Linked DNA regions of Caenorhabditis elegans. The protein of the gene in region 3 purifies or fractionates together with the protein of the main gene of each other region. This does not show direct contact. Each region holds a gene or a part of one and is shown on either strand. Other genes may lie near its edges. The genes, in order: pfkb-1.1, fbxa-12 and vars-1.

Region 1 (10,422 bases), on a different chromosome or scaffold from region 3:
CAATTGTCGTCAGATGAGGTGCATTGCGTGCTTTTGTGTTTGCGGAGTCGCATACCGTACTTCGCAATCCTAATGTTTTTCGAAATTGTTTTTTTTCTTTTTCTTTTCTTTTTTTCTTTTTGCCTTGTTCATTTTTTCTTTTAACTAAGAGAATTGAAATACTATTTTAATCTAAAATTTCAGTTAATCTTTAAACTACCTAAAAATGTCGTTGGCTGAAGAACTTATGGCTGATTTTGACGATGACGACGATGAGGATTTGGAAGACATTCCAGATCTCGGAGAAAACCTTAAGGTAAATCGAATTTAAAATTTAAATTATTTAAAATCTAGAGTTTTTGCAGCATCTGATAAAATTGTAATTTTCAGGGCGTCAAAAAGGAAGAACTCGATGATGATATTGAAGAAGCAACAGAAGAACCGATGGATACAACTAAATATGCATCAGTGCACGATGTAGCAAAGCTTGCCAGATCTGATGAGTTAGTTTTAGTTTTGTTTTAATATATAATTTTAAAATACTTTTACAGATATTTAGCACTAGTGAAACAATTGGAAGTTGAACTGAAACGGCCTCAGGATGAAGTGAAGGTGACAGCTCCTCTTGAAGCAGATCCACAATACAAGCTTATTGTTAAATTATCCCACGTAAGTACATCATGAAAAAGAAACAAAAAAGGCAATGATTAATTTCAGGTCGCTGCAGATATCGACAACGAGATCAATGTGATTCACAAATTTGTTCGTGATAAATATGAAAAGCGCTTTCCTGAACTAGAAACGCTTGTTCCTAACGCGTTGACCTATTTGGCTACTGTACAGTTACTGGGAAACGAGATCAACAGCAAGGTAGTGAAAGAACAACTCGGCGGAATTCTAGATGCCTCAACATGCATGGTGGTCAGTGTAACAGTCTCAACAACACAAGGAGTCAAGCTTGAGCCAAATGAGCTGGAAACCGTCATGGATGCTTGTAATTTGGCTGCTCAACTTCATGTCAATCGTCTCGAAATGCACCAACTTGTAGAATGGCGAATGGCTCTGATTGCCCCGAATCTGGTTGCTTTGCTCGGCTCAACTACTACTGCCCATCTAGTTTCACAAGCCGGAGGATTGTCTCCACTAGCCACAATGCCATCATGTAATGTACAGGTTCTCGGAAAAACGAAAAAGAATTTGATTGGATTCTCAACAGTGTCCACAAATCCACATCATGGTTTTATCTATTTCCATCAGTTGGTTCAAAAGATGCCTCCAGATTTGAAAAACAAAGCGGCCAAAATTTTAGCTGCAAAAGTGACTTTAGTTGCTAGAATTGATGCTCAACACGAGTCATCCAACGGAGAAAAAGGCGCGGAATTTCTGGCGTTGGTGGAAAGTAAATTTGAAAAAATGTTGGAGCCACCACCAGTGAAAGCTAACAAAGCGCTTCCAAAACCTTTGGATAAGGCAAGTAAAAAACGTGGAGGACGTCGAACAAGAAAGATGAAGGAACGCCTCGGAATGACGGATCTTCGGAAAAGTGCCAATCGCATGAACTTTGGAGAATTGGGAGAAGATGTAATGCAAGAGCACATGGGATTCGATATTGGGCAGGTGAAGACCGGAAATGTGACTGGTGGAAGAATCCGAACAGCCGCAGTGGATCAGAAGACCAGAGCAAGAATGTCGCAAAAGATGATGCGGCAGATGGAGAGACAGAAAGCAGCTGGAGGAATGACAAGTATTCGAAGCAAAATGGCGGGAACTGCGTCATCTGTCACGTTCACACCAATTCAAGGTCTAGAGATTATCAATCCAGCTGCACAAGAACAGCAACAATGTTCATCGACTTCAAACTATTTCTCCTCGTCTGGAAGTTTTGTTAATATTGATCGGATGACTTTATAATATATTTATTTGTTACTTTCCTCTTCCTGAATTCTGAATTCTTGAATCTCAAACCAAATGAATCGACTTTTTCATTTATATAAAACTCAACAACTAAATACTAACCAATTGGTGGAATTTCTCCCCTCTTAAATATATCTTTACACTTATCCAATCTAACAACTTTTCACCTCGTAAACAACTCTCAATCCTCCCAATTTTCCTCTCCAGGTCTCAGTGATTTTCGATCGGAATTTCGACCCATATGCGAAACGGGTTCGCTCTTTTTTCATGTCTTTTCTTCTTTCTAGCTGATTGCAAGAAAGTAAATCGAGATTTTGACTATGAATTGAGCAAGAGAACTCTGGAATTCGCAGCGGCTGCGTATTCCATCGATCCGGAACCTTGCATCTCGAAAAACAATGCGACTTTATTGTTTTTCAAAAAGGTGGAGTGCGATTATATGCGTGACGAGGTAAAAGATCATGAGATCTTTAAATATTCAAAAATCATCTGATTTAATTTTTTCCAGTGCTGGAGTGTGATTGCTGCCGACAACGACACAATATTCGTCAGTTTCAGTGGAACAAAATCGAAAGAGCAGCTGGTAACTGAACTTATCGAAAGCATTGGTCGGCCAAAGCACAAAGTAGGCTCATGTTTCAAGTGTTTGTCTGAGTACTCACAGAGCAAAGAAAACTTATTTTACAGTTGCACAATGCTGGATCAGTTCATTATTACTTCTACTCTGCTCTAAAAACAATGTGGTCACCAATGGAAAAACTACTGCGAGGACTGAAAGACTCACTTCCAGATCATAAAATTGTGTTCACAGGACACTCATTGGGCGGAGCTATTGCAAGTATTGCATCGACTGTTTTCGTTAGAAACTTTCCCGAAACGTCGAGTCGAACCTTTTCAATCACATTCGGACAGCCTAGAGTTGGAAATCTCGAATATGCCATGACACATGACAAATTAGTTGCTGGAGGAAGCTGGAGACTGATTCATGGAAGAGATATTGTGAGGGAGACTAATATTTAAGATTTTTTTAATGCTTTATTAGGCTCAAAATGCACCCAAATGAGCGAATTTCGTAATGAAACTTCTCAAACAAGTTCGAAATTTTTTTCTGGCGGTTCAAAATATCCTCTTTCAAAAGACTATTAAAAGTTTTTTTTCTAGGTTGCACATATTCCGTTCTGCGTGGAAAGCTATGCCAGATGGTGTATACCATTCTACAATCATGGATCCTATCACCATGGAGTCGAAGTCTGGTTTCCTGGAAACATGACAAGTCAAGATACGTTCAAAGTTTGCACCGGGACTCCATTGAACGAGGACAATTTGTGCAGGCAAGTGACAGTGATCGAAATCACGTGATAAGAAAATCTTCTCTTACAGCAACACTCATCGCTACTTTGACATCAACGATCACCTGTTCTACTTTGGACACCACGTCTCAGATTACGGTGTTAATGGATGTGTAGACCCACCGGATGATGAACCATTAATAAATAATGAAAATGTTTAAATAAATTTAAAAATGTTGATTGAATTGCGATTCTTTTTCTCGTCGTTTCAACTGTTGAAAAGTCGGTTTGAGAGAATATTCTCGCTTCCGTGTGTCACGTATATTTTCTCAGGACTTTCTTTTTATTGGAGAGAGAGAGGAGGCGCCAAAGAAGATAAGACACCCGCGAACTCGAGTGTAAGAAGAAACAAGGGAGGAGAAGAGAGAAAGAAAGGGATGGTTGAACACAGAAAATGAATTGTTGGTTATTTTTCTTTTCGTTTTCGGTTTCCTACTTTATTGTTATGGAAGATTGTGTCTACTTTCTTCCCATTCATAACACGAACCTTCTTTCTTTCTTTCTCTCTATCATTGCCTGTTTTTCTTTCTCTCCGGCGCAATAATATTATTATTGATTTCTTAATATTTGATTAAAATGATAAGCCTTTGTCTTCGGAATCATTTTGATAAGAGACGATATCATTTCGGCTAGAAATGTTGCAGGAGAACGAGATGCCTGGGCCAGCCGGCGTACCGCAGCGCAAAATGACGTATTTCGTGCCGAAGAGTGGTCAGTTTACTTTAAAAGAGGACTTACCATTTTTTTTTGCTCTTTTAGACTCGAAATGTGCCCAAATGAGCGAAATTTAAAAAGATAGTTTATTTCACATAATTTCAATTAAAATTGATTTCCGTCCGTTTCGACATGGAAAATTTGGCAAAATTGAAGATTTTAGCTAAAATCAAATAGCCCATTTTTTTTCGAAATTTTGAGCCGTTTTGGACGCATTTTGAGTTGAAAAAGTGCATAAAATTGATCGATTAGCCCTATTTTATTTTCATTCCACATTGTCTTCTCAAAAATCTCAATTTTCAGACAACTCAAACGAGCAGGTTCGAGTTCCAAACGTCATCGCACTTGTCGGACTGCCGGCACGTGGCAAAACATACATCTCACACAAACTGTGTCGTTACCTCAACTGGATTGGAATTAAGACCAAAGGTTGGTCCTGATTCGATTATATGTACGACATGAAACAAAAAATCAAAATTACAGCATTCAATGTCGGCGAGTACAGAAGAAGAGCGTGTAATTTGGAAGAAGAAGGCGAAAATGAGTTCTTCTCGCCAAACAACGCCAGAGGTCAAAAGATCCGAGAGTGAGATTTTACGAAACTATGAAGAAAAAAAATTAAAAAAATTCCTGAATTTTCAGTGAGTGCGCGAAATTAGCCATTGAAGATATGGGAAGGTACTTGGATAACAAGGAAGGAGAAGTGGCGGTGAGTTACAAAGGAAAAAATTTCAAAAAAATATATAGACATAAACTTTTTATTCAGATTCTCGACGCGACAAATACTACAAGAGACCGACGAAAGCTTCTGATGGAGTTTTGCAGAAATATGATGCACGAGCCACCATTCCGTGTCTTCTTTGTGGAATCTGTTTGTGATGATCCTGATATTATCAACTCGAATATCACGGTAACCTTTAGATCTTCAAAATAATCACCTTAACCCGCATATTTTCAGGAAGTGAAAATCAATTCGCCAGATTATAAAGGAATAATGTCTCAAGAGGAAGCAAAAGAAGACTTTTTGAAGCGTATCGAGAACTATCGAATGCAATATGAGCCACTTGATGAGGATCATGATGAAGAGCTGAGCTATATCAAAGTTATCAATGCCGGAAAATCCTTCTATGTTCACAATGTTAATGGTCATGTGCAGAGTCGTGTTGTGTATTTCCTGATGAATATTCATCTTCTTCCAAGAAGTATTTATTTGTCAAGAGTAAGTTTAACAAAAAAACCGAAAAAATTTTGCGCTAAAAATAGGTAACAGGTCTCGACGCGAAAATTTTTATTAAATGCCAAAAAGTGTGCGTCTTTACAAACTACTGTAGTTTCATTTTTTTTGCTGCCGAGTTTTCATTGAGTTTCAGTTTTCTCACGATTTGCTGTAAAAACGTTTTTATTTTTTATTTCACTTTTTGATAAATTAATATTTTTTTACCAAACAAGCTAAGAGAGCCCGTAAAAAAACTTGAATTTTAACAAATCGTGAAAAAAAAAGAAAATCAATGAAAATTCCGCAGCAACGAGAGTTTGAAATTACAGTATTCTTTAAAGGTGATGCCTTTTTTCATTTAACAAAAATGTCGTGTCAAGACCGGACACCGGTTTTTTTGGCACAAAATTCCGTTTCTGGGATATAATTCATTCAATTAACAGCACTGAGAATTATCAAGTATTTTTAAACTTTTATAGTTTAAAAATCCCTTTAAAAAATTTATTACAGCATGGAGAAAGTGAGTACAACAGAATTGGTCGTCTTGGTGGTGATTCCCCACTCAGTGAAAATGGTTTAAATTACGCTGGAAAACTTCGCGAATACTTCGAAAAAGAAGATTTGGACGATTTCCGTGTTTGGTCATCTCAAAAGATTCGTGCCGCCCAGACAGCTTCTCATCTGAAAGATCTCGCTGGTCATACAGAGTTCTGGAAATGTCTTGATGAAATCGATGCCGGAATATGTGAAGGATTAACTTATGAAGATTTCGAGGCTCGTTATCCGAAACAATTCGCTGAAAGAGATAAGGATAAATATCACTACCGTTATCCAAGTGGGGAATCATATGAAGATCTGGTTGCTCGTCTGGAGCCAGTTATCATGGAGCTTGAGAGACAATCCAATGTCCTTGTCATTTCTCATCAAGCAGTTCTCCGTTGCATTCTTGCCTATTTTACTAACAAAAATCGAGATGATCTTCCATATCTGAAGGTTCCATTGCATACAGTCATCAAGCTCACACCAAAAGCCTATTCCTGTGAGATTGAACTTTTCAAATTCGACATCGAAGCAGTCAATACTTACAGAGAGAAGCCACAATAGGAAGTATTTATTCTTTATCTAGCCAATTATCTATGCCAAATGTACATTTATTTTTTCATACAAGTTCCCATTTTTATGTCGGGCGTTTTTTTTGAGATTGCATTTTCCCTGTTTTTGAACAATTGCCTTTGAATTTAAATACGTTGTCGTTTATGTGAGAGTTATAAAGATTACATCGATTTCAATTTTATGGACTGATTGCAATATTTCTCGCTGTGTCATTTTCTACAATAATCTATTTTTAATGTATTAAACGGTCAGGAGCCACATTAAAAATTTAAAAGAAAACCAAACAAGAACGCGTAACTGAGTTGTTGTTATTTTAAAAGAAAAATCAATTCATATAAAAATTAATCCTTAAAGGCGCAGAGATTTATTCAGATGGGTCCCGACGCGCAAAAAAGTTTATGGTAATTGTGTTTGAATTTTTGCGGCTGCTTCCTCGTTTATTTTTCTTGCATTTTTCAATTTATTAAGGGAATTTTGTCGTTGTTTAAAACCATTGTATGAAAAAAACACAGGAAATCCCACATTTTTAATGGAAGTAGTTTATTTGTACTTTGAAAACTGATTTTAAACATATTCTGACAGAAAAGTGAAAAGAAAACGACATCTGAATAAATCCATGCGGTTTTAAAAAGGATTGCCAAAATATTGTGAAGTTACGATAAAAACAAAGCTGAAGCAAGTTGTATTTATTTTCTGCACATACCTGCGTCTCTTAGTGGCCTTCTTCTCTCTCTCTCTCTCTCTTTCCCAATAATCGTTCCACTATTCGGCTTTCAAACATTCTCATACACTTTCAAAAATCAATTTACAGGAAAATTGATCGAAATGTCAATATCAATGGATGACAGAGGGAACAATAGTGGAGAAGTTGGAGAATGTGAGTCATCACGAACTATTTCGTTATGAAATTTCGTTATTTGAATTCAATTTATTTTATCATTTCAGTTGCCAGTTCATCAATGATACAAGAATCAATAGATCTCAAATTGTTAGCCGCAGAAAGTCTTATTTGGACAGGTTGGAATTGATTTTTTAACAATTATAATGTGAGGAATTACAGAGAAAAATGTGACATACTTCGGACCACTTGGAAAATTTCCAGGTAAAATCGTAATTACTAGGTATCGAATGGTTTTTCTCGTTGGTGATGGTGGAAAAATGTATGAGGTTTGTGATTAAAATTTTAAAATTATATTTTACAAATATAAACAAAAAATTTCAGCAATGGAAGCTCGATATTCCACTCGGACAAGTGTCTCGGATAGAAAAAGTTGGTAGAAAGACGACGAGTGTTGCCAAACGAGGCGATGATAATTATGGATTCACAATTTATTGTAAAGATTATCGAGTTTATCGATTTACATGTAATCCAGCATCGAGTGATAGAAAAAATGTTTGCGATTCGTTGAATAGATACGCTTTTCCGCTATCGCATAATTTGGTGAGTTTTTTTTTTAATTTTAATAGGGGGCTTTTGGCTCTAGAACTATTGGAAATGAAAAAAAATTCTGATATTTTTTTTTAATTTACGAAAAAATAAAATTAATTATTCATTTATTGGTTAGCAAAAAAATTAAAGTTAAAAAAACACGGTATCGTAATTTCACAAGTTTTCGCCTTAGAAAGCCGCACGGATTTCTTCAAATGGGTCTCGGCACGCAAAAAGTTTATTGTGTAGATTTTAAACAATCAATGATTTATTAAAAACTTACTTGACAACCAAGAAATAGACAGCCTAACTTGAAAAACAACATTATTCAACCAAAAAAGGAAATTTTCAGCCAATGTTCGCCTCTGTACATGCAGCAGAAACACCTAGACTTATGAAAGATGGTTGGAAAATTTATTCAGCTGAAAAAGAATATGAACGCCTTGGAATCCCGAATTCACGTCTTTGGAAAGAAGTGGACATTAATAAAGACTATAAATTTAGCGAAACTTATCCAAGAACTGTAGGTTAATGATGGTTTTCTTTTTTAAAAATAATTTTATTTCAGTTTGTAATTCCGACAGTATCTTGGGAGGAAGGAAAACCATTTGTAAAGAAGCTCGGCGAGTTTAGAAGCAAAGAAAGAATTCCCGTGTTGAGTTGGATTAATCAGACAACTTTAGCTTCAATTTCACGATGCTCACAGCCAATGACTGGAATTTCTGGAAAAAGAAGTGCTGAGGACGAGCGGTAGGTTTTATTTTTATTTTTAATGATAATAAAAAATAATCGGAATATTAATATTCTAATATGCTGAAATGTCACAAAAGAAAAACGAAAAAAAATATTTGGAAAATCGTTTATTAAGATATATTTTTTAAAGCATTCAATTTTTCAACAAAAAATTATATTTTTCAGACATCTCACGAACATTATGAATGCCAATGCTAATTGTCGTGAACTTCTGATCCTTGATGCAAGACCAGCAGTCAATGCAAAACTTAATAAGGCAAAAGGTGGAGGTTATGAAGAGAATTATGTCAATGCTCCTCTAACATTCCTCAATATTCACAATATTCACGTTGTTCGGGATTCATTAAAACGATTGCTAGCCGCGCTGATTCCACGTGTCGACGAGAAGGGATACTACAAAGCGTTAGACGAATCGAAATGGCTCAATCATGTTCAGAGCATTTTGGAAGGAGCAGTAAAAGCTGTCTTCAATGTTGACACTGAAAAACAATCAGTATTGATTCATTGTTCTGATGGTTGGGATCGAACTGCACAGCTGACGTCGTTGGCAATGATTCAACTCGACTCCTATTACCGTACAATTGAAGGATTTATCGTTTTGATTGAGAAGGAATGGTGTAGCTTTGGTCATAAATTTGGAGAGAGAATCGGTTCGTTTTTGATAGATTTTAAAAATCATGCAATTAAAGTTGCAGTAGCGTGAATGAGGATTTTGCTTTTTTTAAAAATCCATTCAGAAAATTTTTAAAAAAATCAAAAAAATTGCGAAAAAAAATCCAACTTAAAAAACTAGATTTTTCAGTTCTGGCGAAGTTCCCAGTTCTCATCTTGGGGAAAATTCAAACAGGAAACTTACTAGGGAACACGATAACTATAAGTTATACTTATAGTTATCGTGTTCCCTAGTTAGTCAAAATTGATAAATCGAATTTTTTAAAATTTGAATTTTTCATCCGTTCGCAATTTTATTTCGTTTTTCTGTTGTGGTATTTCTGAATTTGAGAAAAATTTGGAATTTTTTGAAGCTAACAACTATAAAAAATATTATTTGAGAACCAAAAATCTTTGATTTTATACTTTCCGTTCAGGTCACGGCGACGATAACTACAGCGATGGAGAACGATCTCCCGTATTTGTTCAATTCTGTGACTGCCTATGGCAAATTATGCGACAATTTCCATGGGCATTTGAATTTACACAAGAACTGCTAATTTGTATGCTCGATGAGCTCTACGCTTGCAGATATGGAACATTTTTGTACAATTCCGAAAAAATCCGGCTGAAGGATAAGGTTGTTTTCATGAAGATTTTTTCAATTTTTTTTTTTTCAACTTTTCAGAAATGCGATGAAACGACGATATCGTTCTGGTCCTATGTTTTGGAAAATAAAAAGAAATTCAGAAATCCAATGTTTAAGCATGGAAGTTAGTTTTCTGTTAAACTAATATTAAATCTCAAAATTTTAACTTTCAGAATCCAATAAAGTGATAAACGTAAACCCATCTCTCTGCGGTTTACATGTATGGATTGATTACTACGCCCGATCGAATCCATATGTAGTTACTCCAAATCATGAGGTAAACAGCAGTTCCGCTAGAAAATGATAATGAATTAATTAGAAGTTTTAGGATGTTCAACAGCCAGGCGCACAGTTTGTCGACGAGAAAAAGCAATTGTTGGATGAGATTATGGCTCTTGACGACGCTGCTCAAAAATTGACCGCCTAGTTATTTTAATTATGCTCAGTTATTCAATTTTGTTGTTAGACTTTTAAAAATTTAATTTAGAACTTTTCACTGTGATTTCATTTTGCTTTCTTTATGTGCATTGTACAATATTATATGAAAATAATTCATCTTTAAATATTATTTAATTAAATACAACAGCTGTTAAAATTAAATACAACAGCATAATAAAGAATAGACTGTTAACAGTCTATTCTTTATTATTCAAAT
Region 2 (10,377 bases), on a different chromosome or scaffold from region 3:
ACATTTTTTGAAACTTTGAAATAAAGAAGTGCCATAAATGTGACTGTTGTGGGCCTTATTGCAAATTTCTAATTTTGATGTGTGATTCAAAGTTAGTGATATCTTTAAGTCCTTGGATGCTATTTCCATGAAGTTTACTCCATCAACGAGCGTTTTTTGTGCATTGTAGGTCACAGTTGAGCTGCCATTCCTTGCATCCGAATAAGTGACTCCGATTCCGTCCAAAAATATAGAAATGCTATCATCATATATGTATATACTAATTTTATTAAAATGAAGTCCGAATTTATCGACGGATGTCCTTAAACTTCTACATACTTTTCGAGCTGTCAGTCTGGAAAAAAAGCCCATTTATTTTAGATTTTGGTTATATTTTTAGTAGGAAAACTAACAGTTCTCAACACTAGGTTCAAAAAAAATTCTCAGAAAGTTTGAATTTACCGAAAAAACAAATTTCTCGCAAAATTATTTTCTCAGAAAAATTGAAATTCCCCCAGAATTTTTTTAAAGTAAAATTTAAATTTCCAACCGAAATATTTTCAGAAAATTCAAATTTATCGCCAAAATTATTTGTCAGAAAATTTGAGTTCCCGCCAAATTTTTTACTCAGAAAATTTGAATCTCCTGCCAAAATTGCCAAAATTATTTGTCAGAAAATTTTAATCTCCTGCCAAAAATTTTGCTCAGAAAGTTTGAATTTCCCGCCAAACTGTTTTTCTTTCAAAATTTGATTTTCCCGTCAAAATTCCTTTTCATAAAATTTAAGTTTAAAAAAATTTTTTTAGAAAAATTTGGTTTCCCTAGAACTTTTTCATAGTAAAATTTAAATTTCCAACCGAAATATTTTTCATAAATTTCAAATTTAATGCCAAAATTTATTATCAGAAAATGTAAATTTCCTGGCAAAAATTTCTTATCGCTAAATTTGAATTTCCCGCCAAATTTTTTTCTTTGCGAAAAATTCGAATTCCCCGCCAAATCAATTGTTTTCCTATAAATTTCAAGCCAAAATATTTTTCTCAGAAAATTTGAAAACTTCGCAATTTTTTAAAAATAAGTAACTCACAACTCCATGGGCTCCAACTTTTCCAAAACTTGATTCACAACATCCAGAGGCAGATTGAGCAAGGAAACCCCTTTTGCACATTGAGCATCTTGGCCGGGAAGAGACATATTGGAAAATAAAGTATTTAATACTGGGGGTATAAAAGTTAAGACGGGAAATGTACAACAAAATGGGTAATTGAAATAAAAAAGAAGATATTGACTTACGGTTCGAAATCACGGCGGACAATCTTAGAATTGATTGATAAGGAATGTGAGTGATAAGAACAGGAAATCAGTAAATTGGTATGTTTTCCATATCAAAAACCTATTTAAAATCTATGATTTTTGGCTGGGAACTTGAAAAATTGAAGTAAACTTGGTGTTTTTTCACTTGGAAACTGTTACATCTCAAAGAAAAAACCAATAATTTTGCTGAAAAAATATCAAAAACTTTTCCTTTAAAGGTGGAGTAGCGCCAATGGGGATTTTGTCTAAATGCACTTATAGTGATCCAAAACAACCGAATATCATAATAAAACACTCCAAAAAATTTTAGATTTTTCATAGTTTCCGGTCAAAGTTTTTGGCAAATTGCCAAAATTTTGAAAAATACGAGCTTTTGATATTTGGTCATTTTAGGACCAAAGGAGTGGTTTTTAATAATTTTCCCAGTGGCGCTACTCCATCTTTAAATTTCAGAAAATATAATATGTTTAAAATTCCTGTAGCTGATTTAAATCCATAACCCATTTTTTCTTTAAAAGTTTGTAATCAACACATGACTTCGAAGATCAAACGCCCGAAAAATCAAGAATCGTTTTCATTAGCAAAAACTTGAGTTCGTGGTTGCTGATGCATGCGGTTTTTCGGTTCGCTTCTCTTTAAAAATCATCTCCAGCTCAAATTCTCATAACCCAACTTTTTGGAAATGGACATTCTCCAATACTTGTTCCGCTTCTACTGGCCACCGTTCTACCTACTCAGCTTATGCCTGTTTTCAACCATGTACATTTTGATCTACAACTTTACCACCAACGTCTTAAAAGCCATGAGATATTTTCTCTACGCTTCATGTACGGCTACATTTGTTTCTTTAACATTGGCGTTTGGAACACAAACGAGGTTTGCGAGAATCTGAGATTGTGCGGTTTTAAAGGTGGAGTAGTGCCAGTGGGGATTTTGTCTAAATGCACTTATAATGATCCAAAACAACCGAATATCATCATAAAACACTCCAAAAAATTTTAGATTTTTCATAATTTCCGGTCAAATTGCAAATTGCCAAAATTTTCTCGACTTCCAAAATTATGAGTGGCAAAAACTGAGTAATTGCCACTTTTTGACAGTAAATAAAAAAATTTCAAAAATTTTTTGAAAAGTTTTATCATGATATTTGGTCATTTTGGGATCAAATAAGTGGTTTTTCACAATTTCCCCACTGGCGCTACTCCACCTTTAAGTTAAATTTTTTAAAGAAATATTGATAATGAGAATTCCATGGGGTTGCTGTGTGATGGGTTTTGTAAGTTTCTCGGGCCAACGTTTTGTGCGACGTGCTATAAAGCATATGCGGTGAGATATCCTCTTTCAAGCCCTGTAGGCCCTCTTGTCCTCCAAATTTCCAGACTTCTGTACTAACAGTGAACTTGATCAACTTGCACACTCTCTACTATCGCACCGTATGTCTGAAGTTGATCAACGCCCAGGAAATTGGCCGTAACACCTTGATTTTTTCTTGGCATTACCTGTTCATAATAGCCTATCTGGTAGCTAGACGTCGTACAAAGCTAGCCAATCCATATTATTACAGACTTCTACCTTGATTCCTCCCTCCGACCATCTGGCAGTCTACAATGAAACGCTAGCCCATTACCCTGAGTATGACTACACTCCGTATCTGAATTTTGGAGGGTTCAGCCAAGCTCAAAAAGTTTATCTCGATAATTCTACAGTGGCTATGTTCCTTGTCACGTTGTATTTTCCAATGATCGGCAGCTACTGGAAGCATCAGGCGATGAAGCTTCTTAAACCTCATGTATCCCCAAACACATCGGACGCTACACGTGTTATGTTTCGGAAAATGATTATTGTAGGCGTAAGCTTTTGTTATATAGCTTAATTTGGTTTCCAGGGCCTGAACTTTCAAATCTTTCTGCCGATGCTTAGTTATATCCCCGTAGTGTTTTTATTTATTCTGATTCAAGTCACTGGTAAGGGAAGCTTATCAAACCAATATAATTTGTATATATCACCTTTAGGCCATCAATTCCTGATCTCTCAGTACACAATAACCTGTCTAGGAGCACTTCCTTGCTTCTTGGATCCAATTTTTCAAATTTACTTCATTACACCGTACAGGAACGCTGTTCGGGCTTTCTTCGTGCGGAAGCCGTCTGCTGATGGTAGTTGGGCTACAAGAGTTTCAGCAGTGAACAGTGTTGCTTGAAAAATTATTAATGGGCTTTTTTTTCAAAAATGAAGCATGTTTTTTATTAAACTTTTTTAATGCACATATGAATAATTTTGGTCGTTTGGAAAATATAGAAACAAGATCCCTTTGTTGTCAGCATTTTTTAATAACAAACCGTGCTCTAATAGTAAGTGATGATTTGAAAGAAATTTCGAAGGTGCCAGTGTTATTAGAATATTTGATGTTATAGTCAATGTCGCCCATATAGTCCGGTTGAAATATTCTTGCAAGTTCAATTGATTGCACATTATGGTGAGTTGAAATAGTGCAGGTCTTGAATGTAGTTTTGTTCATGAGGTCCTGAAAAAAATTTGGGTATACAAGTAAGATGTCTTGACTTGATTTCGGTTTACTTAAATTTACGAAATCTGGTGATCCGTCGACTTTAAATGTATCTAAATCAAGTTAAAACTTAAGATAGCTATATGGTAATTTCATAAAAGTTAGTGCTTGACAAGTCGGTCAAATTTCAAATTTCGGTAATTTTTTAAACCACCGCAACTTTTTTCAGAAGGTTTCGAGAAATTTCATTAGGTTATTCATGCATACATACACACCACTACTTCATACATACATACTATATACATACATACTACATACATACATGTTGCATACATACATGTTACATACATACTATATACTACTACTACTACTGCTACTAATACTACATACTAGATACATACATACTACATACTACATACTACATATATACATGCTACATACTACATAAATACATGCTACATACATACATACTACATACAAATTATATACTACTACACACTATTACTACCAAGGGTGTCATTTTTCGATTTTTAGATTTTTCGATTTTTTCGATTTTTTAATTTTTTTCAGTGAAAATCGAAAAATCGAAAAATCGAAAAATTGAAAATCGAAAAACGAAAATTTTCGATTTTTCGATTTTCAGAAACCGAAAAATCGAAAATTTTTCGATTTTTCGATTCTCTGGAAAATCGAAAAATCGAAAAAGATTTTCGGAAAATTATCCTTAAAATATGATTTTTTAAATCTAATTTTGCTTGAATTTATAATAAAACATACACATTTCTTCTAAAAAGAAGAATAATGGCTAAAATATGAAGCTAATTTCTGAAAAAAAAAAAAAAAATCGAAAAATCGAAAAAACGAAAAACGAAATTTTTCGATTTTTCGATTTTCAAAAAACCGAAAAACGAAAAACCGACACCCTTGATTACTACTACTACTACTACTACTATATACCACATACATGTGAAAATCAGAAAAACTCACATCTCGAATTTTAATCGCATTTGGCATTGAGAGATTGTCAATTTGAATACTGAACTCTTCAAAGTGAAAAAAGTGCTCAATTGGTACTAGATCACAAAACAAAAACCGACAATGCAAAGTTCGTGCTTTTTTCCATTGGTCCAGACAAGTGATTCTTTCAGATAACTCGACTCCGTCGCGGTGCCATAATACAATATCTTTGAGCACTTCAGCTTGACAACTCGAAATGATGTTCAAAATATCATCATGTGGGAAGTTGTATAGTACTACTGACTCTACGGCTATACATTTATTTTCCAACATATCATTTATCGACGATGTGATGGCTTGTTGTTTTACTTTCGAATAGTTCTGAAAAACGAACTTCTTCACGTTTTTCAATACGCTCGCCAAGTCGTTGAACGCTGCTCGCATGAAATTGTCTTCTTCGATTTTTGTTTCTCGTCCTTTGTAAGTCACGTATGCAGTACCAGAAACATCGGTATATTTGATTTGACTTCCGTTTAAGTCCATCGCAACGAAATCATTACAAATGTCAAATGAGATTCTGTTGAGATGGTTTCCTGATTGGTCAACGGCGCTTCTCAGACTTTTGCACACTTTACGGCAGGATAGTCTGGAACATTGCATTTTTACTAAAAAGATTTTAAGACTCCTTTGAGCTGGAAACACTTATTTGGTACCGAAAAGATCAGATATAATCATGAAAAAAACTTAAATTTTTGGCACGGAATTCAAATTTTAATTTCCCAACAATATTTGGCAGAAAATTCAAATTGAACTTTTTAAAATATTTTGGAGCACATTTCAAATTTTTATCATAAAAAAATTAGGAACCAAATTCAATTTTAAAATTTTCCAAAATTTTGAATTTGAATTCAAATTCAATTTTTTAAAATTATTTGGCGGAAAATTCAAATTTTAATTTTTTAAACATTTTGGCGCCAAATTCAAATTTAAATTTCTCAAAAAAAAAAACGTTTTTAATCTTAAAAAAATATATATTCAAATTTTAATTTTTCAAACATTTTTGGCACGAAATTCAATTTTTTAAAGAATAAAAATTTTGGCGCCAAAATCAATATTTAAAAAATTTGGGTACAAAAATAAATTTAAAATTTTTAAAACATTTTAATATTCCAAACAATTTTGGCATAAAATTTAATTTTGTTATTGAACAAATAAATTTTGACGCACCGTTAATATCAACATTTTTAAAAATTTGTGGCGCGAAATTCAAATTAAATGTTTTTTGAACATTTTGGCGGGAAATTCAAATTTTTTAGCATAAAGTTTGACTTTCATTTGGAAAAATTTGTGAAATTATAACTTCAACTTACAGATCCATTGCAGGCAATTTTGACAAAATTTCATCAGAAATTTCCAAAGGCATACTGATAGTGAGCAAAGTTGGCGATAACTTGGACATTTTACTGGAGTTATATGTAAATTCAAACGTAAAAATGAACCAAAAACGTCTATTCACTCTCTCTATTATACAAACTCCAATGACGCATGGTATTTAAACATTTCCTCCGTAAAAAAAGTATGACTCCATCCGTTTTTCCCGAAAAAATATTTAAACTGATAACAGTCACACATTGGTATAATTTCATTTTACTCGAAACTTCCCAATTTCTTCAAATTTTACACTGAAAACTTCAGGTTTTTACTTGAAAAAAGAAACTTTCGAAAATGCCTACTTTACTAGAATTGCCGTTGGAAATTGCCAATCATGTTTTGAAAAGCTGGAGCCCATTGAACGGTAAGTTTTTTTGCATTTTAACAGCAATGCGAATTTTTCATTTTCAAATTTCAAAATATACAGAATAATCTCGAAACTCTTAAAAACTACGAAAAAAACTATGATGTTGAGCAACTTCTGGCCAATCAGAAGGGGCTGCTTTCCTCCGCTGAATGGTTAAGAATTGGGTGCAGCTAAATGCTGATTGGTTGAAAAGTGGGCGGAGCTAAACGTTGATTGGCTGAGAAATAGGCGGAGCTAAACGTTGATTGGCTGAGAAATAGGCGGAGCTAAACGTTGATTGGCTGAGATATAGGCGGATCTAAACGTTGATTGGCTGAGAAATAGGCGGAGATAAACGTTGATTGGCTGAGAAATAGGCGGAGCTAAACGTTGATTGGCTGAGAAATAGGCGGAGCTAAACGTTGATTGGCTGAGATATAGGCGGATCTAAACGTTGATTGGCTGAGAAATAGGCGGAGATAAACGTTAATTGGCTGAGAAATAGGCAGAGCTAATTGCTGATTGGCTGAGAAATAGGCGGAGCTAAACGTCGATTGGCTGAGGAATAGGCGGAGCTAAACGTTGATTCGCTGAAAAATAGGCGGAGTTAAACGTTGATTGGCTGAGATATAGGCGGATTTAAACGTTGATTGGCTGAGAAATAGGCGGAGATAAACGTTAATTGGCTGAGAAATAGGCAGAGCTAATTGCTGATTGGCTGAGAAATAGGCGGAGCTAAACGTCGATTGGCTGAGGAATAGGCGGAGCTAAACGTTGATTCGCTGAAAAATAGGCGGAGTTAAACGTTGATTGGCTGAGATATAGGCGGATTTAAACGTTGATTGGCTGAGAAATAGGCGGAGATAAACGTTAATTGGCTGAGAAATAGGCAGAGCTAATTGCTGATTGGCTGAGACGTCGATTGGCTGAGGAATAGGCGGAGCTAAACGTTGATTCGCTGAAAAATAGGCGGAGCAAAACGTTGATTGGCTGAGACGTCGATTGGCTGAGGAATAGGCGGAGCTAAACGTTGATTCGCTGAAAAATAGGCGGAGTTAAACGTTGATTGGCTGAGAAATAGGCGGAGCTAAACGTTAATTGGCTGAAAAATAGGCGGAGCTAAAATGGTAGGCTTAGACTTAAAACTTTACTTGCAGTGTTAAATCAAAAACTATTTAAATTCCAGACTAACCTGCCGTAAAGTCTGTCGAAGCTTGAGAGCCGCCCTTGACAAGCTTGGAATCCGTTTTGACACCATCAAGCTGGACGTTATGAGCGAAACCCTTTCAATACGGTTTGATAAGATTGAACTGGAATACACTGATTCAGCTGTGATCTACAAAGGACGGAAGACTATTATCCAAGAAAAAGATTTCATGGAGTTGGCATTCAAGGACCTGAAAATAGCAATGAACCATGCATCTTCATTTGTTCTGCAAAACTTTACAAGAAATAAAAACGAGGTTCTCAAATCTCTTGTGAATGTTTTGGAGAACGGAGGAAGCGTTCACGTGAAGAAAATAAATCTTCTATACCTAACATTCAACGAAATTCTTTCAATATTGCCGTGTTTTGAAGCGGACGTGCTGGACGATATTAATTGTTTGCTCATTGGCAAGGTTCTTGATTTTGAAAGGATCACTTTGCTGGATCAGTGGAAATGTGCAAAAAGCTTCCGATCCACGTATTATGGTGTTACAAATTGTTACCTGACAGCAATTGATCATTTCTTTCATTTCGAAGAGTTCTGTACAACGATTGTTCAATTTCCACAAGAAGACGCAATTAAAATTCGAGATGTAAGTTGCAACTGTGATAGTTTTTTTTCTCATTATCAGAAAATTTGAATTCCCGTCAATTCCCGTGGAAAAAATTATCTGTATATATATATTTATATAAATATATATATATATAGAAATATATATATATATATATATATATATATATATATACTATATATATATATGGAGTCATAAATATATAGGCACATCATATATATCATACACCACAGATATATGTAGTAAGTTGCAACTTTCAGGACCTCTTGAAAAGAAGTAGTTTCCGGCGTTGCATTATTTGGTTTGACCCTGGAAATCTGATCGAATTTGCAAGATTGTTTCAACCAGATTTTACTATTGGTGATGAAATGGATATTGAGTTTACAAGCAGTGGAGCTAATTTCAAACTTCGTCGTTATAATAATGCTTCACATTTGATGGTTGAAATTAGAAAATGCTAATTCCTTTTTATTTTATTTTCAAACATCTGTAATGGAATTTCTTGTGTTTTTCGAAACAAAAATTCTGCAACAATAAATTGAATAAATTTACATTTAAAAATCAATAAATTAACATGTAAAATGCCAATCTGGGAAAAATACGCCGAAATATGTCAAATGATCGGGAATATCGGTATCCAGTTGCCTATTACTACAGTATAGGCCATCGGCTTCTGCACAAATGTGGTATGGATCAGTGGTGGTCATGTTGTTGTTGTACCTGCAAAATACAGAAAATTTACGATTAAAATCGTTTTTTTTTTAATTTCAAAAAAAATTCGAAATTTTTTTCGGAATTTTTTTTCAAAATCAAAATTCCTAAATTTTCACTGCTGAATTCAAACTCAGGGCGTTAAAACCTTTAAAATGACCCCCCATATTGCCTAGGTTCCGCGCATTTTAAAAATTTGGGTCCCACCACGATGGGTACTGTAGCTATGACTTCAGCTGTGTCGGAGGACCGAAATTTTCAAAATTGACGGATCCTAGGCAAAATAAGTGTCTTTTGAAAGGTCTACACGAGCTCAACTCGTAAAATTTCTTGAAATTACAATTTGGCGGAATTTTAATTTTTTTTTCGTTGCGAGACCCAAAAAAATTTTTTTTGCAGAATTTTAGAAAAAAATTTTTATCACAAAATTTACATTTCTTATGTTATCATCTTTTAAATGGCACCTATATTGCCTAGGTCCCGCACATTTTGAAAATTCGGGTCCCGCCACGATGGGTACTGTAGCTATGACTTCAGCTGTGTCGGGGAATTTTTTTCAAAGATGACGGATTCTAGTCGATATGGGTGTTATTTGAAAGGTCTCAACGAGCTGAACTTGGAAATTTTGTTGAATTTTCGATTTAGCGGATTTTTAATAGTTTTCGTTGCAAGACCCAAAAAACCATACTTTTGCAGAATTGTAGAAAAAAAATTTTTATCACAAAATTTACATTTCTTATGTTATCATCTTTTAAATGGCACCTATATTGCCTATGTTCCGCGCATTTTGAAAATTCGGGTCCCGCCACTATGGGTACTGTAGCTATGACTTCAGCTGTGTCGGGGAACTTTTTCAAAGATGACGGATCCTAGTCGATATGGGTGTTATTTGAGAGGTCTCAACGAGCTGAACTCGGAAATTTTATTGAATTTTCGATTTAGCGGATTTTTAATAGTTTTCGTTGCAAGACCCAAAAAACCATACTTTTGCAGAATTGTAGAAAAAAATTTTTTATCACAAAATTTACATTTCTTATGTTATCATCTTTTAAATGGCACCTATATTGCCTATGTTCCGCGCATTTTGAAAATTCGGGTCCCGCCACTATGGGTACTGTAGCTATGACTTCAGCTGTGTCGGGGAACTTTTTCAAAGATGACGGATCCTAGTCGATATGGGTGTTATTTGAGAGGTCTCAACGAGCTGAACTTGGAAATTTTGTTGAATTTTCGATTTAGCGGATTTTTAATAGTTTTCGTTGCAAGACCCAAAAAACCATACTTTTGCAGAATTGTAGAAAAAAATTTTTTATCACAAAATTTACATTTCTTATGTTATCATCTTTTAAATGGCA
Region 3 (10,996 bases):
CATTGTTACTTAGAACAATGTTTTAAAAAAGTTTATGATAAATACTTTATTTTTAATATACATCTATTCAAATCAAGATCAAACTTCGTACTCATTCCTAATCGTTTCAAAACAATGTTGTTTCATTAAATTTCCAATTTTTTTGGTTTCATCATCCTCGAAAGATTTTCTTTATCATGTTATTGGTTTCTATCTTTCATTTTCCTCCTCTTCCCATACCATGTCTATCTTTCCCGCACACGTGCGATTTTGCAGTTATCTCTGTGTCCCACGTGTAAGAATACGTCCTCTTCGAAATGGGCGGAGCGATGGGTGTGTTGGCAACGACATAAGGACATTTTGTAAGAGCCAGTATGACAGGGATCTAGGTATAAAAAGAGAATAATAGAAGATGGGTAAACTCTTAAACAACCACAATGGCATCTACTATGAAAGCATACACAACTCAAAAGGCTCTGAAGACTGTCGTTGAGAACTTCAGAAAACCACGTCAATTATTCGTTTATCATCCAATTCAATTTGAGATTAATGGTACTTTCCCAGCTACAAAAACTTCTTTATTTTCAAAAAATGTTAATGGAACTACTTATTGGCTTGCAAATATGACAAGTCTGTATGAAAGGTTAGTTTATTGAAGTGAAGTAGTGCGTATACAGTTCAGATTCAGAAATTTCGATCAGACTGTTTAGTAAATTTATTAGGGTAATTCTAAATTTTTTTGTATAGAAAACTGAACAGGTAATCCAAATTCAAATGTGTTCCATTTATTTTGATACAAATATAGGTGCCTATAAAACAGGCTTACCGCCTGCCTAGATAAAAACTATTTTTCAAATTAAAATATTCAGACGAGTTACTTTTTTTTTGCGGAATGTGTATTGGTTTACTTGGTTTCTAACGTACCGCTAACCAACTTAAACTGAAAATTCGAGGAAAATAGGGAGAAGAATACTGTAGATATATAAAATTTCTACAAAATTTAAATTCTTTTTACCAAAACCCAAAAATTTTCGAAAACGAACGAGTTACTGTACGAAGTTTGTATATATGCCCGCATAAACCTAGATAAGTAAGGTTAGAAAGCAACTTGAAATTTTCAATGTAGAGAATGTATTTGACTTGCCAACAACTTTGCCATTTCCTCCCGTTTCAAACTACAAAAACATGAACTTTCAATACATGGGACAATTACTTTATAAGTAGGTACACGCGACCCTAAACTTTGTTCACTTTGAAAAAAAAGTGAATTCCGTTTTAAATGTCCATGGCTGACTACATTTTTCCGTATCTTCACTCATGTTTTTCCGATTCGACCGTAATATTTGATAAGATCAAACATTTCCATGACAATCCATTCCTAAACCAGTTTTTCTTCATTTTCAAAAACATTTTTCAGTATCACTAAAGACCTTTTCCCACCTTTTGCTATCTCTTTTTTTCAATTCGAAATTGACCTTCGCACCTTTTCAGAGACCGTCAAATTCTGACACACGATGGAAAGTTTCGAGAAGAAGACTTTCTGGCGGTTTTTGATGAATTCTGTAAAACAAATGGATTGTTTGCTGGCTCCAATGCTCCATCAACTGTAGCCGAGAAATGTTACACTAAAGCGGTAATACACAATGAAAACAGAACAAAGGTTAATAGATAAGAAACGTTTGATTTTAGATTGAAAAGTACATGAAGAAAAACAATATTAATGCAGAGGTGCAAAACAAATCAACACACTTTTTTGCAATGAATGAAAGTCAAATTTTCAAATATAGAAATTATGGTGATACAACATTACCTGATGGATACTCAATTGATATACCTGAATCAACAAATGATGTTATGAAGATTGTAGGATCATCTATCACACCAAATGCAAAATTAGTAGAGTGAGTTTTTGGATCAGGAAATTAAAAACCAACAGTACTAGATTTATATCATTTTCTCACAAAATCGAGAAATCGTAAAACAACAGTTACATGGAAAAATAGGAATTTTTTTCAGAGAAAAACTTCGACGGTTCCCATCGCTCTGCGTTCGTAAAGGCGACGAACTTGTTGGATTCATTTCTTCAGAAACTCACGGAGCACTTGCTCATTTGCATGTCTTTGATGTGAGTTTTACTATTTTCAAATTGAATATTTTCAAATCTGTTTTTAGGGGCATCGTGGTAAAAATCTTGGAGAGAAGTTGGAGATTGGAGCTGCTAAAATGGCTATTGAGTGAGTGATTTTTTGACAAAGGACTGTGGAAAAATGATAATATTTTAGAAATGGAATGCGTCCATGCAAGTTCATCGACACAACAAACAGTTTCTTCTTGGAAAAAGCAAAAAAGTCAAAGTTGATGGATGTTGTTGAGTCCAATGGAACACCGCTAGTTTTCGACCAAAATGTTTATTCCCAGGCGTCAAATTATGGAATGCACAAGTGATTTTAATAGGAATACAATGAACTTACAATAAATCAAATATACATGTAAATATTGAATAAAAATTCGAATACCTTCCAGCAAGTATATTTGCAAAGTAATGTTCTTTTACAGCTAGATTTTGGTCAGACAGTGTTGTTGAAAATTTTTTAGTCGAGAAAATCTAGTTATTCGCTGTTTATGAGTTACTTTTTCAGACAATTACACAATTTCCATGCTTGCTAAAAAAAAATTATTAGTTACAGTAACCTTTAAAGGCGCAGCAGCGGGGAGTGCACATCTCAAACGAGTGTGACCGTAGTCATTGGTGAAAATTGGCAACATTTTCTTGCAAGTTTTTTGACTTTGATTCAACCATAAATTTCAGACTTAATTCTAAACTTAAGTATTAAAAAATAATTATTTGATCTTATTTAGCGCGCATTGCCGCCAAACATTGACTTTTTGTTTCGAAATTTTGGGACAGAGATGGTTTTCTTCAGTTTTCTTTTGTTCAACAACATTTGGTTCTGTTCATTCATTTATTTCATTCAGAAGGATTTTGGCCCGTTTATTTGAATTTTAAAAGAGCTTATTTCTGAATTACGTCGCTTAAAACAATAATTTTATACCGTTTTGGCGCATTCGTTTTTTCTCGTTAAAAACTTATTTCTTTCATTCTTTAGACGGTTGTTATTCATTGCTCGCGGAATCTTACCATTTTTAAAATTTCTTTAAATTTCAGGGAATCAATTAACCGAGCACCCCACGCCTAATCACTAACCACCCATTTCCCCTGCACTACTAACGAAATAATGGATATGCTCAAGGAAAATGTTATCCAGAATAATGAGTGAGCCACTTTTATCATAGTTTCTCAATTTTAATTTTCTTTTTTAAGGGCTCGTACAGAGTCGAGTGTTGAACCATCGCATCCCGATATGATGGAGACTGTTCCGGAAGAACAGCAAAAACCGATTTCTCATATCGACGATTTGCTTTCCGAGACCGCTAACCTGATGGCTGTCAAGGAGCAGCTTCTCAAGGAGATTGCTGAGTAATTCTATAGGATAAATGGACTGTTTCTTAAATTTTATCTTCTCAGAAACGAGCATATTCATTCGATGCAAATGAGAGCTCTTCAAAATCTTCCACAGGAAGCTATTCTCCCACTGCAATATCATGCTGATCCAAGACGCCGTCACCGAATGCAAAAACCGGAATCGTACAAGACTGTCATATGTCAGGCTTGGTTGGAGTCGAAGACATGTGCTTTCGCGGAGAACTGTCGTTTTGCTCACGGCGAAGAGGAGCTTCGTCCATCTCTGTTGGTTTGAACATTGAATTAAGATTACACAACATATTTTACAGGATCGAGGCACGTCAAAACAATAAGTACCGGACGAAGCTCTGCGATAAGTACACTACTACTGGGTTGTGCCCATATGGAAAACGCTGTCTTTTCATTCATCCGGACAATGGACCAAATGCATACATTCGAGCCGATAAATTGTTCGAGGTAAGATAACTTTTTAATTTTCCACTTTAATCAAATCTTCAACAGGTTTCGCAACGTCATGCTTTGGCCGACCTTCGCGATCAAATGGAGCATCATATCATGAATGGAGGTCGTTCTACAGCCGGCCCTCAACAATTTGATATGTTTGCAAGGCCATGCACACCAGATGAGCCAGCAGCAAATATGCCATTGGGTCCAACCCCAGTTAGCATTCGTGGACCACGATACGAGTTGCCATCGAAGAAGCCACTTGAGACTGAGGGTATGAAAATTGAATATTGATGATTAATTCAAAATAATTTTACAGAAGCCGGGAATCGCCCACCATCAAGCTGGCCGTTGGATCCATCAACTTTCTTCGCATTGGATAGTCTGAATATGGCAACTCGTCCAATCAGTCCGTTTGAGTCTATGCTTATTGGAGCAGCCGGGAACATGCAATACTCTATGCTTGGAAAACAATCAACACCGGGAGGAGTTTCGGGATATTCTTCCTCTGGATCAACTCCGTCTCAAGATAGTGATTCGTCTCCACTCACAGCTGCTTCTGCTGCTGCAGATGCTGCCTGCCAAGCCAACTCGGAGTCTGCTCAGTCTATTCTTCTGAAGTCTATCAACAATCCGATGATTGGAAACGAGACAACTCTTCCAATTCCTGGACTTGATCAACTTGCCATGGACATTGCCAAGCACCTTGAATTGTGGTGAATAACCACCTCCTTCCCCATCTATTTATACATTTTGTCAAATTGCCATACGTTTTTATGTCCCATACTAACTATAATAACGCGCGCAATTTGTAAATATAATAAGCTCAATGTTCCTGTCATATAGAAAGCACGCTCGCTCCCCCCATCTCTCGCAGGCTCTGAAACTAAACTTGAATTATTTTGCTGCATTTTATTATATCGGATATCATTGCATGTATTTTCAATTCCCTCCAAATATAAATTGCTCGTATCCTCTCCCCACACTAACAATCAATAAACTTTATCGAATGTCAATCAATGTTTTTGAAGACCATCTGGAAATAACGTTTTTTCACGAAGATATCTGATTTTCAATTATAGAATTGCAAAATAATTTCTGAAATGTTTCGTTTGACAAAAAAATATTTTTTAATCTTCCCTCCAATTAGTTTCGCGACAGGGCGCATTTGCTTCGTCCAGACGAGCGTTAATTTTTCAACAGATTGAGCGCATTCTTTCTTTTAAATTATTGTTTGTGGTTTCAGGTGAAATAAATGGGTAAATTGAATCGATTAGCACTTTTTCATCGTTCAAGAAGGCAATGTGCTTACTCACCGACAATTATTACACGTGAAAGTAGTAGGTAAACGATAAACTAAGAAAATAAAATAACTAATTTTTTCAGCTCCTTTAACATCGACGAGGTAACACAAAATTTTGAACAAAGAACAGAGTTTGCCGCTGCAAATTATCGAAAGAATGGTCAGATTTCCTTGATAATAGTTCTAGGCAAAAAAATATTTTTCAGGCAGTCTATTTCGTATGGTTTTACCCCCGCCAAACGTAACTGGTAAACTGCATTTGGGACATGCTCTAACAGTTGCAGTGGAAGATGCTATTTGTCGACACCAGAGAAATCAGGGAAATAAAGTAAAATTTCACGAAAAATTAAGATGCTTATTTTTATGTTTTCAGGCCGAATGGATTCCTGGATTTGATCACGCAGGAATCGCCACACAAGTAGTCGTGGAAAAAATATTGGCAAAAAATGGAAAGCGACGACTTGAGATGACACGCGAAGAGTTTGTGAAAGAATGCCATTTGTGGGGTGAAAAATGCTCATCTGAAATTCGACAGCAATTGACTCGAATGGGAGCTTCTCTCGACTGGACTCAATCATATTATACTCTCGATTCAAAATTTTCCGAAGCCGTCACAAAAGCTTTTTGCATTCTTGAGCAAGAAGATTTGATTACACGTGGCAAACGATTAGTTCATTGGTGTCCAACACTATCATCTACATTATCGAGTCAAGAAGTAAATCGAATTGATGTTCCATCTGATGGTTACATCAATTTATCGTCGTCAAGTGGAACACGGAGAAGAGTGAAGTTCGGTCAAATGCATGTAATTAGATACAATCTGGTAGATTCTGAATCTGAATTCATTGAAGTTGGAACAACTCGCCCAGAAACTTTGTTCGCGGATGTGGCCGTAGCAGTTCATCCAGAAGATGATAGATATTCAAAGTTCCACGGAAAACATGTTTGGTCTCCAGTAACACCGGGAAGGAAACTTTTCGTAATTACTGATTCAGCAGTTTCCGTGGAAAAAGGAACGGGAGCTGTAAAAATCACACCATCCCATGATGCTCTTGATTACGAAATTTGGAATCGTTGGATATTGAATGCTGGACAGAATACAATCGAAGAGTTTGCATGTATTGATGCTGAGGGAAAAATGACAAATTCTGGTGAAGATTTTGATGGAATGGATCGATTTGAAGCCAGAGAAAAAGTGATTCAAAAATTGTCAGAATTGGGAAACTACAACGGACTTATGAAACATGAAGGTGCACAAGTTAATATTTGTTCTAGAACTGGAGATATTATTGAGCCGAGACTCACAGAACAATGGTTTTTGGATTGCAAAGATATGTTCGCCAGATCAGCTGATGCCATAAAATCCGGAAAGGTACACTTTTTACAGCAAAAAAAGATTCGTTTGAAGATGTGGAAAAAAAACTGAGAATCTTAAATCCAAACCGCCGAATTTTGTAAGGAAACGTTCTAAAAATTTTTCATAAGTTTGAGGTCTAAAAAGCAGTCACAGATTTTAGTACACCACCGTAAAAAACCAACACAACAATGATTTTGCAGATTGAAGTGTTTCCGGAATATCAATCACACAGATTGGCTGACTGGTTTGAAAATCAAGAACCATGGTGTTTAAGCCGGCAACTTTGGTGGGGACACCGAATTCCAGCATATAATGTTCCTGGGTAAGCAGATAACTTGTTCACTAAAAGTAATACGATTAATTTCAGTCAATCGAAATGGATGGTAACTACAGACGAAGAAGAAGCTCGACGAGAACTTGGTGACAAAATGCAACAGGATCCGGATGTTCTTGATACTTGGTTCAGTTCTGCATTGGTTCCACTCGTCAAAAATGGATGGCTCGAAGGTGCCCCAATTCAGACGCCTTCGTTGAATGTTATGGAGACAGGATGGGATATTTCTGGATTTTGGGTTGCACGAATGATAGCTTTAAATATGAAATTATCATCTGGAGAGACACCATTTGGAAAAGTAGTCTTACATGGATTGGTTCGAGATAATGAAGGCCGAAAAATGAGTAAATCGCTGGGAAACGTAATTGATCCATTGGACGTTTTGGATGGTATCACATTTGAAAAAATGATTGAAAGAGTGAAATCAAGTGCTCATGAAAAGGAAGAAATCGATAATGCTGTTAAAGATCTAACGAAAAGATTCCCAAATGGAATCTCCAGATGTGGACCAGATGCACTTCGTTTTGCACTTTTGAAGTATGATGTTCTATCAACAGATATTCCAATCGATGTTTCAAATGCTGCAATTGAAGGTCTTCACTTCTGTAATAAAATTTGGAATTTGGCTGCATATTACGATCAGCTTGCTGAAAAGTGTGAAGTCATCAAGGATGTTGATTCAGATCGACTTGTGGTGAGTAGTATAAAATAAGATAACAGTTGTTTCTAAATTTTATTAATTTTTACATTCAATTATCTAAAATATATCTAAACACAAAACGTTTATTTTTCAGGACGAATGGATTATGGCTAGACTTTCGACTACAGTTTCCACTGTCGATGCTCACATGAACAAGTTTTCCCTCCATTTAGCTCTGTCTACACTTCATAAGTTCATAACTTCGGATATTTGTGATATTTATCTGGTAAAACTATTTTCCTATCTCGTAATATTAAATCTTCAATGATTTCAGGAGTCCACCAAAAAAGCTTTATGGAATAATGATATTGCTAGAATTCGAGAAGCAAGATCTATACTTCAAAGAGTTCTACAACCGACTCTAGTTCAACTCAATGCTTTTATGCCATTTGTTAGTGAATATATTTATGAACGGATTTTCAAACGAGAAACTGGAAGTATCCTCTTTGACGTCGTCAAGCCATCGCTTTTTATTTTCCATAGAAATGAAGAACTGGAAGAAGCTATGAAATTGATTACTGCAATGATGGCTGCTATTCGATCTACTCGTCAAACACTGCAACTTCCACAACGAATTACCTTTTCTGGTATTTTAGAAATGGCGCCAACTGACACATCACCTTCGGAACTTCGAATATTAGCCGACGAAGTCACACAAACTTGTGGTTTTGAATTGCAAAAAGTGTGCAGAGAAGTTGATGAAGATATCAAAAAAGATCACATGGCTTGCCCAGTTCCAGGACATGATGCAAAATTGTGGATGAGAATCGATGCTGACTGTAAAGAAATGTTCATTTTGAGTCTCAAACGACAACTGGAAAAGACAAAAACCCGTCAGGAACAGTTTCAAGCAAGAATTGCATCGTATGAAGCAATTTGTGAGAATCCTAATTCCAAACCATCAAATGTAACAAAAACAAAACGGAAAGCTGAAAATGCAAGAAAAGTCGTCGAAAATGCAAAAGAAGAAGCTGAACGGATTAAACAGCTAATTTTGAATCAAAGTTAGATTTATTTGTAGTCATAGATATTAGTGAGATTGTTAGAATTGTTTTCCTTTGTATTTTGTTTTTTTCTGTTAATTTTTGAAATGTTTTTTTAATAAATAAATAAAATTTCAGTTTATTATTCAATTCTAGTGTTGTTAAAGCCAGCATGGTTTCATCAATTAATATATTTTTCAAAAATTGGTTCAGATAAAAACCGAAGTTTTCAGAATGGAAGGGACGGAATGGATAGTCATTATAGTCACTATCATTCACATTATTCTGGCACCAGGAACAAAAGTTGAAGAATCATTTAATGTTCAAGCAACTCACGATTTGATGTTTCATCTTCCTACTAATCTTAGCAATGTAAATTTTACACAAAAATTTAATTTTAATTCGAAAACAAAAATCAATAATTAGTGAAAAACAGTTTTCAACAATTAAGATATAGTTTTAGTTATGTTATCAGACTTCTTCATTTTATCATTGTCGCACGATAATCCTTGATTCATTTTGGCAAGATATTGACTGATATTCGTTGCATCGTCTTTTCCACAAACTTTAGTAACTTCTGACTTTATGCATTCCAGAGAATTGTTCATCAAATCACATTTCATTTCAGTAGTCATGTTCTAGAGAAAATATCAACCTACTCGAAACTTTTAATTTTACTAACATTTTCAAAAAATGCTTTGAACGATTTCTCACATTGAGTTTCACTTCGAGCATCCATCTTTTCTTTGCACTTTTGAAATCCAGTTTCTAGAAACGTGGAATATCCACAAAATGCTTCGAGGAATAGTTTCAAATTATGAGCATTTAGGCAATCAGTGGAAAAACATTCCTTAAAATTATCGTTGTTGTTCAACATCTTAAAGATAGATTCCTACCAAAACTACGTTACAAGAAGATGTGAAATTCTCGCGATCCTCTACCAATTTTAGATTGTAATTATCGACACTTGATATAAGTTCAGAAAGACCCTGAAAGCATGCTTTAACTTTTAAAAAATCTGTTAGCTAGGAACTTTACCTGAATACATCCAAAAACTTTAAAGAATTCTTTTGCATCACAAATAGCGTTTTTCGGAGCAACTTTTTCAAGATTATTAGAAAAAACCACTGGAGCAAATAAAAAGAGAAGAATTACAAACATGGTAGGTTGAGAATTGACAAGCAAACGATAGGTTGATAGGTTGATAGGTTAAATAGTGAATTCAAGGTTATTGAATGCGTTTAAAACTCTGATCTTTTGGCATTTGACGAATAATTGACGTCTACAGAGGAGGTAAAATTGATAAAAGTATAAACTATCACGATATGACTAGACGATGAAAATGAAAGTATCAAACGATATTTAACAAAGTTTGAGTTCGAGTTCAATTTTTCCAAAAAAACTGTTTTCAGTATGATCACTCACAGTTCCCTGGTGTCGTTCCACGAACATTCATTGGTCCAATCAGTCTTGCAATCCTATCTTCTCCGATGTCATTTATCTTCAGATTCTGGGCAATTCCAAAAATGTGGCAGCTACTTCTTAGTGAGTCGTTGGATAGTTTTAATTGTAACATCAAATACTCTTGCACATATCAGAACATATTTTCATACGCTTAATTCCTGAAATAGTAATGAAAACAGATATTCAATTACGAATTTGAAATCATGTCTGGGAAAATCCGGAATTATTTTAGCATCAACCAAAAAATAAAGCAATAAAAATTTAAAAAGTTATAAAATTACTTATTTTCAGTCCGCGCAACTCTTGGATTGATGAATGCGATGGCGTTTCTCTACTTTGCTCGATCCGTTAATCGAAAATTTGGAAGAGAAACTGCAATGTATCTACGATTGATTATGTGCACTCAATTTCATTATATTTTCTACATGTCACGCCCACTTCCAAACACATTTGCATTGATTCTTGTAATGATTGTATTCGAGAGGCTATTAGAAGGAAGATATGAAAGTGCTGTCAGATATGCTACAGCTTCAGTGATCCTGTTCAGATGTGAACTTGTCCTTCTTTACGGCCCCATTTTCTTGGGATACATGATTTCTGGACGTCTCAAAGTATTCGGATTCGATGGTGCAATAGCTATCGGTGTTCGAATTGCAGCAATGTGTCTAGGTAAGTACCGAAGAAATAAGTCTGAGTATGATATAATTAATTTCAGCTGTCTCCATTCCAATCGATTCCTATTTTTGGGGACGACCTCTTTGGCCAGAAGGAGAAGTCATGTTCTTCAATGTCGTTGAGAACAGAAGCCATGAATATGGTGTAAGTTTTCAGTTAAGAAGTCGCCGAAAATTTTTCTGATTTTTTTTCGGTTTTATCAGAGATGATTGAAAAATCGAAAAAAAAGTTTCCAAAATTAACAAACAATTACAAAATTTTATCTACTTTCGT

The links.
Region 1: the proteins of vars-1 (region 3) and pfkb-1.1 fractionate together in Caenorhabditis elegans (co-fractionation; one large-scale study listed by BioGRID). This does not show direct contact.
Region 2: the proteins of vars-1 (region 3) and fbxa-12 fractionate together in Caenorhabditis elegans (co-fractionation; one large-scale study listed by BioGRID). This does not show direct contact.

What each region holds. Positions count from the first base shown.
Region 1 is NC_003279.8:5,127,645-5,138,066, forward strand, and holds pfkb-1.1 (6-phosphofructo-2-kinase domain-containing protein), read left to right. Parts: upstream 1-3,875; 5' UTR 3,876-3,877; coding exon of another isoform or gene 3,878-3,895; coding exon 3,896-3,953; intron 3,954-4,259; coding exon 4,260-4,385; intron 4,386-4,439; coding exon 4,440-4,542; intron 4,543-4,598; coding exon 4,599-4,665; intron 4,666-4,722; coding exon 4,723-4,866; intron 4,867-4,914; coding exon 4,915-5,175; intron 5,176-5,682; coding exon 5,683-6,276; 3' UTR 6,277-6,461; downstream 6,462-10,422. Other genes in the region: prp-31 (U4/U6 small nuclear ribonucleoprotein Prp31), read left to right, coding at 206-295, 370-482, 531-648, 697-1,890; Y110A7A.7 (Fungal lipase-type domain-containing protein), read left to right, coding at 2,135-2,344, 2,402-2,518, 2,581-2,892, 3,055-3,224, 3,274-3,403; Phosphatidylinositol-3,5-bisphosphate 3-phosphatase mtm-1, read left to right, coding at 7,123-7,162, 7,231-7,302, 7,346-7,452, 7,508-7,726, 8,067-8,237, 8,283-8,464, 8,633-9,117, 9,556-9,758 and 3 more.
Region 2 is NC_003281.10:2,215,599-2,225,975, reverse strand, and holds fbxa-12 (F-box domain-containing protein), read right to left. Parts: upstream 6,269-10,377; 5' UTR 6,180-6,268; coding exon 6,127-6,179; intron 5,403-6,126; coding exon 4,787-5,402; intron 3,818-4,786; coding exon 3,611-3,817; 3' UTR 3,535-3,610; downstream 1-3,534. Other genes in the region: fbxa-38 (F-box domain-containing protein), read right to left, coding at 1-334, 1,067-1,173; srd-65 (Serpentine Receptor, class D (Delta)), read left to right, coding at 1,976-2,169, 2,523-2,619, 2,673-2,813, 2,858-3,136, 3,179-3,257, 3,306-3,493; C39B5.14 (Fungal lipase-type domain-containing protein), read right to left, coding at 8,881-9,031.
Region 3 is NC_003283.11:8,026,294-8,037,289, forward strand, and holds vars-1 (valine--tRNA ligase), read left to right. Parts: upstream 1-5,117; 5' UTR 5,118-5,162; coding exon 5,163-5,251; intron 5,252-5,293; coding exon 5,294-5,370; intron 5,371-5,416; coding exon 5,417-5,538; intron 5,539-5,583; coding exon 5,584-6,582; intron 6,583-6,767; coding exon 6,768-6,889; intron 6,890-6,934; coding exon 6,935-7,595; intron 7,596-7,695; coding exon 7,696-7,827; intron 7,828-7,875; coding exon 7,876-8,610; 3' UTR 8,611-8,732; downstream 8,733-10,996. Other genes in the region: F43H9.4 (Glycine N-acyltransferase-like protein), read left to right, coding at 417-622, 1,471-1,612, 1,669-1,880, 1,996-2,104, 2,152-2,213, 2,262-2,424; CCCH-type zinc finger protein oma-2, read left to right, coding at 3,216-3,253, 3,302-3,457, 3,506-3,727, 3,772-3,919, 3,965-4,181, 4,227-4,627; algn-12 (Dol-P-Man:Man(7)GlcNAc(2)-PP-Dol alpha-1,6-mannosyltransferase), read left to right, coding at 8,819-8,956, 9,997-10,129, 10,340-10,717, 10,764-10,867; ZC513.14 (T20D4.11-like domain-containing protein), read right to left, coding at 9,031-9,222, 9,267-9,434, 9,481-9,573, 9,623-9,745.